Linked DNA regions of Arabidopsis thaliana. The protein of the gene in region 2 interacts with the protein of the main gene of each other region in a pairwise test. Each region holds a gene or a part of one and is shown on either strand. Other genes may lie near its edges.

The links.
Region 1: the proteins of LRB1 (region 2) and NAC069 interact in a two-hybrid assay, tested with the Arabidopsis thaliana proteins (one large-scale study listed by BioGRID).

Annotation. Positions count from the first base shown.
Region 1 is NC_003075.7:672,859-678,562, reverse strand, and holds NAC069 (NAC domain containing protein 69), read left to right. Parts: upstream 1-2,117; 5' UTR 2,118-2,337; coding exon 2,338-2,491; exon of another isoform or gene 2,492-2,571; coding exon 2,572-2,843; intron 2,844-3,349; coding exon 3,350-3,490; intron 3,491-3,564; coding exon 3,565-3,936; intron 3,937-4,016; coding exon 4,017-4,202; intron 4,203-4,289; coding exon 4,290-4,538; 3' UTR 4,539-4,701; downstream 4,702-5,704. Other genes in the region: MEE49 (Ribosomal RNA processing Brix domain protein), read left to right, coding at 84-167, 256-325, 405-487, 568-647, 729-827, 916-985, 1,061-1,150, 1,259-1,297. UniProt on the Arabidopsis thaliana protein: Transcription activator activated by proteolytic cleavage through regulated intramembrane proteolysis (RIP). Involved in salt stress response during seed germination and seedling growth.
Region 2 is NC_003071.7:18,993,269-18,999,684, forward strand, and holds LRB1 (BTB/POZ/Kelch-associated protein), read left to right. Parts: upstream 1-2,376; 5' UTR 2,377-2,842; coding exon 2,843-3,098; intron 3,099-3,223; coding exon 3,224-3,358; intron 3,359-3,495; coding exon 3,496-3,614; intron 3,615-3,714; coding exon 3,715-3,778; intron 3,779-4,005; coding exon 4,006-4,285; intron 4,286-4,363; coding exon 4,364-5,195; 3' UTR 5,196-5,404; downstream 5,405-6,416. UniProt on the Arabidopsis thaliana protein: May act as a substrate-specific adapter of an E3 ubiquitin-protein ligase complex (CUL3-RBX1-BTB) which mediates the ubiquitination and subsequent proteasomal degradation of target proteins.

The sequences.
Region 1 (5,704 bases), on a different chromosome or scaffold from region 2:
TTTTTTTTGGTACCATTGTTTCATAAGAGATTCTACAGATTTGTTTGTGGTTTTCTGATTCAAGTAATGTTGTTGGATTGCAGAGAGGACCTGCTTTAATATCTGAGTTGCTTTCGGTGATACCAAACTCTCATTATCAAAAGAGAGGAACCTATGATTTGAAGAAGGTGTTGTTATAAGTTTCATAGCTTCCTTGTTTCTCTATAAAGTTAGTCTTTTTGCAACTATATAACCTTGTTAGATATGGTTCTGCAGATTGTAGAATACGCAACGAAGAAAGATTTTACATCTCTTATTGTTGTTCATACAAATCGTAGAGAACCTGGTTAGTTTTCACTGAGTTTCAAGTTTTGTGCTCTCTACTGTATATGCTTTGTTTCAAGCTTTTGCTATTTCATATGTAGATGCGCTTCTTATCATCGGTTTGCCAAATGGTCCTACTGCTCATTTCAAATTGTCAAATCTTGTTCTAAGGAAGGATATTAAGGTATGTAAGCTAACCATTACTCTTCTCTACATCGAGTGTAGATTAGTGATCACTGAATTGGATGTTAAATGTAACTGCAGAATCACGGAAATCCTACAAGCCATCAACCAGAACTGGTTTTGAATAACTTTACAACGCGTTTAGGGAATCGTGTTGGGAGGTATAGTTTTCATAGTGTTGTTGACTTGGTTTTATGGTCTCTTTGAATTTCTTGCTGATGTTAGATTTTTCCTTTTTTCAGATTTTTTCAATCACTCTTCCCTCCGGATCCTAATTTCCGTGGTAGGAGAGTTGTAACATTCCACAACCAGCGTGACTTTATATTTTTCAGACATCACCGGTACATAACTTCACCTTTTCTTCTTCGAGTTGCTTTTGCTCCATTCTCCAATAAAACTTTTTATTGAACAAATTTCAACACTATCCAGTTACATATTTGAGACAAAGGAAAGCAAGAGTGATAAAGGAAAAGAAGAGACAATAAAACCTCGTCTTCAGGTCAGTTTTGACCATGTTGAATCAAAAAGTAATCAACATTATCAATGTTTGTATCATTAAACTTTGGATTTTTAGGAATGCGGTCCTCGATTCACGCTTAAGCTAGTTACTCTACAGCATGGAACTTTTGACACCAAAGGTGGAGAATTTGAATGGGTTCATAAGGTAAAATCACCAGAAATGGACACGAGCAGCTTCATTGCTGTTCTTTAGAGTTTTTGATGATTTTTAATTTTATTTTCTGATGTGTTTTTTTTTTGTATTTCATTACAGCCTGAAATGGACACGAGCAGGAGAAGGTTCTTCTTATAAATTCTGCTGTCTTCCGAGTTTCACCAAGTTTTGTGTTTATTTTGCATTTTCGAATTTTCCCTACCTCCGTCCAAAATTGTATGTCTTTAAAACTTCTCATTTCTTTTTTCAATATAGCCATGAGCCATCGAAACAATCGTAAGAGTACTTGTTTCAACAATATAGGCCCTCGTTTTTTACTAAGCTATATATAGTTGGTTAAACTTATGATTGTTTGGTTTGGTATATATCGACATCGAGCATTTGAATCTACAGCAGTAATATTGGATTTTGTTTAGTAGTTAAGTGGACCTTTATGTTGCATAATTAATAGTTTTACGATCATCAGTTCATCACCATAATAATAGGATTAGATTTGAGGATGTGAATGGTTACGGTGGTTGAGACGGATAAATCCGTTTGCGAATTAGACCGTTTTTGATTTACCATTTATAAATTAGAGTATGTAAGATTATAGATTAAGAAAAATAAAAGAAAATCGTCGCGGATCAATTATAGACCGTTTTTACCGCCGTAAGCATTCAAATCCTGAACATCTCTAATGATAATGTAATAGGATTGACAAAAACAAATCTAAAAATTAATTACGATTATTTAGGTGTAGTATAGAACGTAATTACGTATATGTATGTTACTATGTTGTCAATTATGTCGGCTATAATATTCCAGAAAGATCCTTCGGAAAGGAAAAAAAAAAACTGAAACTTCGGTTCGAAGTTCAAACAATTTTTCTTACTGCCACGTGTTACTTCATACACAATTAAAATATTTTTTTGTCCCTCTCATTTGTCAACGTTTAGGGGAAAAACATTAATATACTTTTACTGCATTCCGCCACAAATATCTTTCTTTCTTTTTTTATGGTTCTTCTTCACCCCAACTGTATTAGTACTGTTCGTCTTTCAGAAAAAACAATAATAGATAGAGGAAAAAAGAAAGAAACAGAGAAGTGAGAAAAAGCCCTTAAAACTCAAACACTAAAAAATTTTCAGTGTCGATTCAAAAAGTTTTGTTATTTGATCTGTTTCTGTGTAAAAAAAATGGTGAAAGATCTGGTTGGGTATAGATTTTATCCAACGGGAGAGGAATTGATAAACCATTATCTAAAGAACAAAATTTTGGGTAAGACTTGGCTCGTCGACGAAGCCATTAGCGAGATCAACATCTGTAGTTACGACCCAATTTACTTGCCTTGTAAGTTTCCTCACTTCAAAATCATCATCGTTGTCTCATCATCGGTCATTTCTAATTCTGGATTTGTTTGGTTGTTGTAGCTTTATCGAAGATAAAATCGGATGATCCTGTGTGGTACTTCTTCTGTCCAAAGGAGTATACTTCTGCGAAGAAGAAGGTAACGAAGAGGACTACAAGTTCAGGGTATTGGAAAGCTACTGGTGTTGATAGGAAAATCAAAGATAAGAGAGGTAATCGCGGCGAGATTGGGATAAAGAAGACGCTTGTGTATTATGAAGGTAGAGTTCCTAAAGGTGTTTGGACTCCTTGGGTTATGCATGAGTATCACATCACTTGTTTGCCTCAAGATCAGGTATAATAAACTCAGAGTTTCTTGAATTTGAGCTTCTGTGTTAGTTTGACTTAGCGTTATGTTTCTGTTAGTTGATCTTCTTGAATTGGATTTGGGTTTGATTCATCTGTCCCTGTGTTGGTTGCTATCTTTATCCCAATTTGAGGTTAAAGTCATGTTCTTGTAAGAATAGATTTGGGTTTGACTTATCTTTTCCCTATGATGCTTAGTACATCAAGTTTAGGTTCTGTGTATCAGAGTTTGAAGTGTTATATATAGAAGTTGTGGCCTAGAAGGCTAGTGTATTTGCTTCCCTGTGTTGAATATATTACTGTAATCTCCCCTGTGTTGGTTGCTATCATTAGTACGTTCTGTGTTGTCACAGAGTTTTAAGCGCTATGTATAGAAGTTGTAACCTAGTGTTCTTACTTCTGCCAAAGCTTGTGATTGTTTGAGTTATGTGTGTTTGATTTTTTGTTTTGTTGGCAAAGAACTTATGTGTGTGTGTACTTTTGGAATTTGTTCAGAGGAACTATGTTATCTGCCAAGTGATGTATAAGGGTGAAGATGGAGACGTCCCATCTGGTGGTAACAACTCGAGTGAGCCGAGTCAATCTTTGGTCTCTGATTCGAATACTGTCAGAGCTACGAGTCCCACAGCGCTTGAGGTGACTCCAGTTTCTTTATTTGATAATCTCATGTACTTGATTCGTTTACTCAAAACTCTCTTTTACATTTTCAGTTTGAGAAGCCAGGTCAAGAAAATTTCTTTGGTATGTCTGTGGATGATTTGGGGACTCCAAAGAATGAACAAGAAGATTTCTCTTTGTGGGATGTACTGGATCCAGACATGTTATTCAGTGACAATAACAATCCTACTGTGCATCCACAAGCTCCTCACTTAACCCCGAATGATGATGAGTTTCTCGGTGGATTGAGGCATGTTAACCGAGAGCAGGTTGAATATTTGTTTGCCAATGAAGATTTCATATCCAGACCAACCTTATCTATGACCGAGAACCGCAACGATCACAGGCCAAAGAAGGCTTTGTCAGGGATTATTGTTGATTATAGCAGTGATAGTAATAGTGATGCTGAATCGATATCTGCAACGGTAAAGCAAATCACCCGTTTTCTTTATCGTTACTTCTGTGCTGTAATCTCCATTCTCACATTTTGATTATATTATGTCAGAGTTACCAAGGAACATCAAGTCCAGGTGATGATAGTGTTGGTAGTTCGAATAGACAATTTCTCCAGACTGGTGGAGATGAGATTCTATCGTCTTGCAATGATCTACAAACCTATGGAGAACCTTCCATCAGTAGTAGCACCCGGCAATCTCAACTCACACGAAGCATCATACGACCAAAACAAGAGGTTTTGCGTTGCTCTTATGTTGATTCTATATGATTTCAACATATGTTGGATATATAAAGATAATGATTATGTAACTTTCCTTCACAGGTGAAACAAGATACATCAAGAGCGGTTGATAGTGATACATCCATAGACAAGGAGTCATCTATGGTGAAGACAGAGAAGAAGAGCTGGTTTATTACAGAGGAAGCAATGGAGAGAAACCGCAACAATCCACGGTATATCTATCTCATGAGAATGATCATAGGCTTCATTCTCTTGCTGGCTCTCATTAGCAACATCATATCGGTGTTACAAAACTTGAACCCGGCGATGAAGTTTGATCGCGAGAGATAGACAAAAGCTAGCAGATTGATCAAAGCACTCGTTTTTACTTTGCTTTTATTTATTTCTATTTTCTTCCGAAATTTTGATGTATATATGTGTGTGTATGTATGACCAAGAGGTATGTCTTGTACCTAAAGTTAAATAAAATTTAGGGTTTGAAAATTTTATAACATTTAGAGCGGGTCCATAGTTCAGTGCCGTGGTGGAGCATTAGACTGCTGATAAAGAAAACATTCGACAGAGACCAGTGAATGGTTTGAAAGGTTTCTCAAAGATTTGGTTTGTTGATAATTAAGAGAATGATTACATACCGGACAAGGGACTGGTCTAATGTGATTGATACTTCGATGATCAATCAATCAAATATTACTTCGATGATCAATCAATCAATCAATCATATTACTTACAACTATGTAATATGATTCTATGAACCTTTTTCTTGTTTTTTGTAAACTTTAATCCCTTATCTTGCAAGCCAAATCCATAGACATATATTTTACAAAATTAGTAGTAGTACTATATTGAAGTAGAGAAAGTAATAACGCCATGTCGTCGTCGTCGATGGTGGCGGCTATAATTTCCGAAAGATCCTTCGACTCAAAATACACAAAAAAAACAAGGAAAAGAGAAAGGTTCATACTTTCGTTCGAAGCTCCGACAATGAACCGTCAATAATTTGCCACGTCTTCATTCTCATTCACAATAAAAATAAATTTTGTTCCTCTCATTTGTCAACCTTTTTTGTTTTTGTTTAAAGAATTTGTCAACCTATTGGAAAACATTTTGCATTCAATTAAAATCTTATCGCTAACAGTTTTTTGTTTTTTGTTTTTTTTTCAACTATCTTATTTATTAACAGTAGTAAATTTGTTATAAAATACATAATATTACATTTCTTCCAATACATAATTGATATCTAAATATCCGATCGTTGTAAATTTGGAGTTTCATTCATCTTAAAATGTGTGAAAAATTACGGCTGATGTGTGACAAACACAAAAGATAAAAAGTTACTAAACACAATTTTTTTACAAAATTAAATTGAAACGAAAAAAAAAAATTTAACAAAAAACTAAAAAGAAAAAACATTTTAGAAATAGACACAAGTCATCAACACGGTTTCGGCGCGAGTAGACTTCACGGCTTTTGTTCTTTACTTACTGAGAAATTACTAA
Region 2 (6,416 bases):
GGTTAATATTAATGCTCGTTAGTCGTTAAAAAAACTAAATATTTTAATTGTCCCAGTGACAGAAACCAATTTCACATGAAAAAAGGAAAAAGCTAATTTTGTCAACAGTTCACATATATTGACATTGAACACAACTCCGGTTCGACAAAAAAAAAGAACACAACTCCGGTCAACTATTTTTGGCAGTTGTAATTAAGAACAAAAAGATGTAACTTAAAGAAGAGACAATTTAACCGATTAGTTCAAATCTTTGGTCATCAAAAATTCCACAAGTTTTAAGAAGACTGATTGGTGATTAATAAACGTTAAAAAAAAAAAAAAAGCCAAGTCAAAGATGTGTCGGTAATAGCGATTGACCAAACTCTATCTGTTTTAGAGCATCATTAATGGTAGTTTCTTAGCATAATTTTAATATAGTTTTTATGAATATTTTTATAATTGATTTTGAAAATTCTGAAGTTAAAAACTTGGTTAAGAGATTGAAATTTAGGCAATATGCAATGGTGGAATCTTAACTTGGAGTTCTTAAAAAGAAAATTTGAAAAAAAAAATAGAAACATTATAATTTTAAAAAACTTAATAGTTATTACAACTCATAAAATTTAAAACATACATGACATAAAATTTTAAACAAATATGACAAACAATTCTATTTAATACTTAAGTTATCTAAAAATTAAGATTAATTAAATTAAAATATTATATTTAAGACCTAATTTATCTAAGAATTAACTTAAAAAACATTAGATTTGGCTCTTATATAAGAGCTATTCTTAACCATTAATTGAATTATAACATTAAATTTAAGATCTACTTTATCTAAAAACTAACCTAAAAAACTATCAATAATGATGGTCTTACGAATGCCTAGATTCTCTTCAATATACAAAAAGTACGGTTTAGTTATTGTTTGGACATTTGAAATCTAACTAATTCTCTTTTTAGTCTTAATGCAATGGAATTGCAAATACTCCATAAACCATAGTGTTGCACCCTAACCGTATCTCTCTCTAAAAGAGAATCTAGTCAACAAGATTATGTTTAATCTCTAATTAATGACAATAAGATTTACTGCCAAAATAAATAAATAAATAATAATAATAAGATTTACTGCCATTTATTCTTCTATATTTTTCAATTTTTTATTTACACTTGTTCCATAATCGTCCCAAGGAGTAGACTAGGGTTGATGCTCTTTCATCTATAAAACGACTTAACACAACATGTTCTTTCACATCATCATCATAAGCCTCAACAATCCATCACCATACATATTAGATTCTCCCTCTTTCCATAGTTTATTTTTGGTTCGTTTTATTGTAAAAAGATATCAAACTCTTTTTGGGGGACATTCGTTCTTCAAGTGTAACAGAAGGAGCTCCCTTCCTCCAAAACGAAGAGGACAAGATTTGAGGAACTAAAATGCAGAATCTAAGAGTTCATGTCTTCCTCATAGAGAGTGCGCGGTGTTAAAAGCTTGAAGAAAGCACACTTTAAGGGGATTGCACGACCTCTTAGATTCTCCCTCTTTCTCTACATATCATTCTCTTCTCTTCGTTTGGATTGAAGGGAGCTCCTTTTCTTCTTCTCTTAATTAGTCTCTGTTCTTCAAAACTTGGTTTCGATCTAACTTGTTTTCTTTTTCTCTAGTGCATTTTTTTTTTCAGGTTGTCATGTTTATTTGCAGGTGTTTGTGGTTGATGCTTGCATGGAAGCAATATTAATGTTGTTTATTTACGAGAAGACGTTCGTGTGCCAATTTGAAAATATGATATTAATGGAAATACAGATTAAAACTGACAAATGTATAAATATTTCTTGTTCCTTGTTTTAATTTTAACATTAGTCGTGTGTTTGTCGTAAATACGAAGGGGACATTTCACCTAAAAAAAGAAAAAAATATATTCATCAAAACTGGTCTTGGATACGTTTTTAGTTAAAACAAGAACAATAATAAAGTTAGGTTTAACTTCGATCAGATCGAAACAAGTACACTATAATTGTTTTGGTTTGAGAAAATATACCATCGATGGTTTCAAGAAATAATAGCAGCTGGGTTGCTTGTAGTCGATACGTTAAGTCGTATCATCTCAAATGATCCCTAGTAGTACACAACATAGTCAACTGGTTTGTCATGTGTTGGCCTACGAAGAAATGTATACCGGCCGGATTTCAATTTATAAATTAGTCCTTTTTTTTTTGTCAAGTTATCATTGCATAGCCAAGTTTCACTCGGTCAAAATCTAATTAACAAAGTCTGTAAAACGTTGAAGTAATTGTATTTTATTAAAAGAAAACTCCAAATTAGACTTTGATTCCAACGAATATTTAACGACATAAAAGGCATTGCCGTTTGTTGAACGAGTTGTCTTCTTACCAAATTTGACGCTTTCCAACTAAATACACTCCTAATTTTGCCTATTACCTTTTTCCTCCTCTAATTAAGTAAATGCTAAATTTCCCCCAAATACTAAAAATCGAATCCGATAAGTCAAAATCAAAATCGTACCTACGCGATTTATGCAAAATACCGGAAAAAGAACCAAAGTGCTTATTACAATCAAAAGACCAAACCGGTTAAACAATTAGTTAGGCTGGCATTAACGAACCTCTTTGTCTTTAATTAGCCTTTATCCGTCACCGCCCTGTTACCATAACCGTTCAACGTCGACCCGCTCTTTGTTTCAGAAAAAAAAAACAGAGAAAGACTTTTTTAGTGTTTCTTTGTCATTTTCGTTCCTCAAAAAAACCTTTTCGAATTTGACCCTTATTGTTATCCTGATTCTTCTGCTCGGTTCTCGCCGGAGAGAAGACACGGAGAAGAGGGTTTTCGAAAAGGAGGATGAGAGGTTCCAATAACACCGATCTATTTGACCCTAAGACGGAGATGGATTCCAATTTCTCTCGCCATGGTTCTTCCTCCGAAGGTGATTTTGGTTTCGCTTTCAATGACAGTAACTTCTCCGATCGTTTGCTCCGGATCGAGATCTTGGGTGGGCCTTCGGATTCTAGGTCTGATGCTGAAGGATGTACGAGTATTGCCGATTGGGCTCGTCATCGCAAGAGGAGAAGAGAGGACAACAAGAAGGACAATGGTGGTACGTTTGATTCCCTATCGGTTGGAATCTCAGATTTTGTTGTTGTTTTTATGAATTGTTCTTATGGTTGGTTTAGGGCTTTTGGGTTTAAATGTTTAAGAAACTTATACGTTTTGCATTTCCAGTTGCGATTTCAGACATTGTGGCATGTGCTGAAGAACAGATTTTAACCGATAACAACCAACCTGATATGGATGATGCTCCTGGTGGTGATAATCTTGACGATGAAGGAGAGGCAATGGTTGAAGAGGCTTTATCAGGTACCGTTCTAAATTTCACATTGTCTCTCGAGTGACTGGGTTTGAATTTGTGATACTTAACAATTTTCAGAAGAGCGTTTTTTGTTGAAGTCATTTGTCTGAAACGTGATGGCTTTGTTTATTAATGGTTTTTGTAGGTGATGATGATGCATCTAGTGAGCCAAACTGGGGTATTGATTGTTCTACTGTTGTTAGAGTTAAAGAACTGCATATTAGTTCTCCTATCTTGGCCGCAAAAAGCCCCTTTTTCTACAAGGTATTAACCTTTTTTCTTCTTCTATGTTCTTATTGTTTGCTCTTGTTCATCTCGCATGTAATGCTATCTTTTGCTTCTTGTTTTCCTTACCCTGTTGTAGCTGTTTTCTAATGGAATGAGGGAATCAGAACAAAGACATGTAACCCTTAGAATTAGTGCACAAGGTACGACAATTTAAGTCAAGCTTTTAATTCATTTCTGCTATTCTCCAATCTCTTTATATTGGCTTCAATTCTCTACTAGCTCTCTGTTGGCTTCTTCTTGTTTTGGATTCTTTATGCCTCTTGTATTAACTCAGTTGCTGACTTTGATTTACATATGATATACGATATTAGCTTTAAGGGAGTCCACATTGTTGATTTCTCATGCTCTACTTTTATGTGTATTGTAGAGGAAGGTGCTTTGATGGAGCTTTTAAACTTTATGTATAGCAACTCTCTAAGTGTCACAACAGCACCCGCTTTATTAGATGTTCTTATGGCTGCTGACAAGTTTGAGGTTGCTTCCTGTATGAGGTATTGTAGTAGACTACTGCGAAATATGCCCATGACCCCTGATTCTGCTTTGCTCTATCTTGAGCTGCCCTCTAGTGTTTTAATGGCTGAAGCAGTGCAACCTCTAACCGATGCAGCAAAGCAGTTCCTTGCCTCGCGCTACAAGGATATTACCAAGTAAGACTCTCCAGTGGTTTGAAATGCATTTACTCTAGTGTTGTATAATTCTTGTTCATGTGTTACCATCTTGTACAGGTTTCATGATGAGGTTATGGCCTTACCATTGGCTGGAATAGAGGCGATACTATCGAGCGATGATCTCCAAATTGCTTCTGAGGATGCTGTTTATGATTTTGTCTTGAAATGGGCAAGGGGACAGTATAGTTCATTGGAAGATCGTAGAGAGATTCTGGGTTCACGCCTTGCACTCTACATCCGCTTCCCATACATGACGTGTCGAAAGCTGAAAAAGGTACTAACGTGCAGTGATTTTGAGCATGAAGTAGCATCAAAGCAAGTATTAGAAGCGCTCTTCTTCAAAGCAGAAGCCCCACACAGGCAACGCATCCTCGCAGCTGAAGGATCGGACTCCATGAACCGCCGTTTCATAGAGAGGGCTTACAAATACAGACCCGTAAAAGTGGTGGAGTTTGAGCTTCCTCGCCCGCAATGTGTAGTGTACCTGGACTTGAAGCGAGAGGAATGCGCAGGACTATTCCCTTCAGGAAGAGTCTATTCTCAGGCTTTCCACTTAGGAGGTCAAGGTTTCTTCCTCTCAGCACACTGCAACATGGACCAGCAAAGCTCGTTCCACTGCTTTGGGCTATTCCTCGGAATGCAAGAGAAAGGGGCTGTGAGTTTTGGTGTGGACTACGAATTTGCGGCAAGAGATAAAAGTACAAAGGAAGAATACGTAAGCAAATACAAAGGAAACTACACATTCACAGGGGGGAAAGCGGTTGGTTACAGAAACCTTTTCGGGATTCCATGGACTTCGTTCATAGCCGAGGACAGTCAACATTTCATCAATGGCATTCTCCATCTCAGAGCCGAGCTCACCATTAAACGTTCCTCAGACCTGCACTGACTGTTTTCTTCTCTCTCTCTCTCTATGTCGTCACATTTAAGTTGTATAATCTCGTTATGTAGCAGCTCTAACCACGAGTGTCCTTTGTACAATAATTGCCTAAGGAGCAAAAGTATGGCTTAAAGAGTACCTCATTCTGTAAATTCTTTGATTGGATTTTTTTACTTTTCTATATGGGTCTTTATAAATAGTCCAAGATAGAATTTGGGCCTAGCTTTTGAGGTTAGTCTTAAAATATGGGCTCAAGGCCTACTACGATGCGTAATGATGAAGCTAAATTGCCTATAGTGTGAACATTAGGCTTTTATATTCAAAGTTCAAACAATGCGGCTATAGCAATGGTACATCGAGGAAATAGAATGAAGTGACAAGGATAATTTAGGAAATGAGGATAGAGGAATTGAGTCCTCGTCACATGGGGCCCACATAAATGCGTAAGTAAGACTATCCGCTTACCAGACGGACACGTCATTTTGTCGGGACACGTTTGAGCCGTTGGATGATTAATCTCCTTTTCTGACTTATCGACCCCACTTTTTTTTTCCACTACAAAATATTGATGGCCACGTCAGATGATTCGAAGTTATATAAAACACACGTTTTTATTGCAGCTTAACCGTCGATTTTTTTCTAATCGAGAAACCGAGATCAACGGTCTATATTCAAAGCTGATGTGGTCTGTACCTTTGCTTACGTCACCGAAAACCTAAGTTGAATAATACTAGTACTAGTATTATGCTCTCTGATTTCTTTCTACAGTACACAAAATAAAAATAAACAAAAATAGAGAGCCCAGACAATATTTACTACATCACCCAATGGATAACCGACACGTAGATACATCCATGTGAGTCGCATTTTGTAATGTAGGGACCACTTCGTGGATAGAAGCTCTTTTACGCCAACGCAAAAAAAAAAAGCCTCGTTGGCCCTTTAGCCTCTAAATGCCAATAACTATCTACTGGCGTGGCTTAGTTTATACCGTTGGATCATTTGTTTATCCCAGCCGTTGGATTCGAAGCAGTTGTCGGGCTTGTGGGCCTTTTCTTTATTGTTTTGTTTTCATAATAATGAAAGAAAATAAACTAAAAAAGTATTTTTTATTTTTCCTTTTATGGTGATTCCATGATGGCAAAAACGTGGCCATACACGTGGGTCGTCTCGTGGCACCTTTGGAAGATACGAATCGGTAGTGAATAATGGACGGTTCGGATCTTTAGT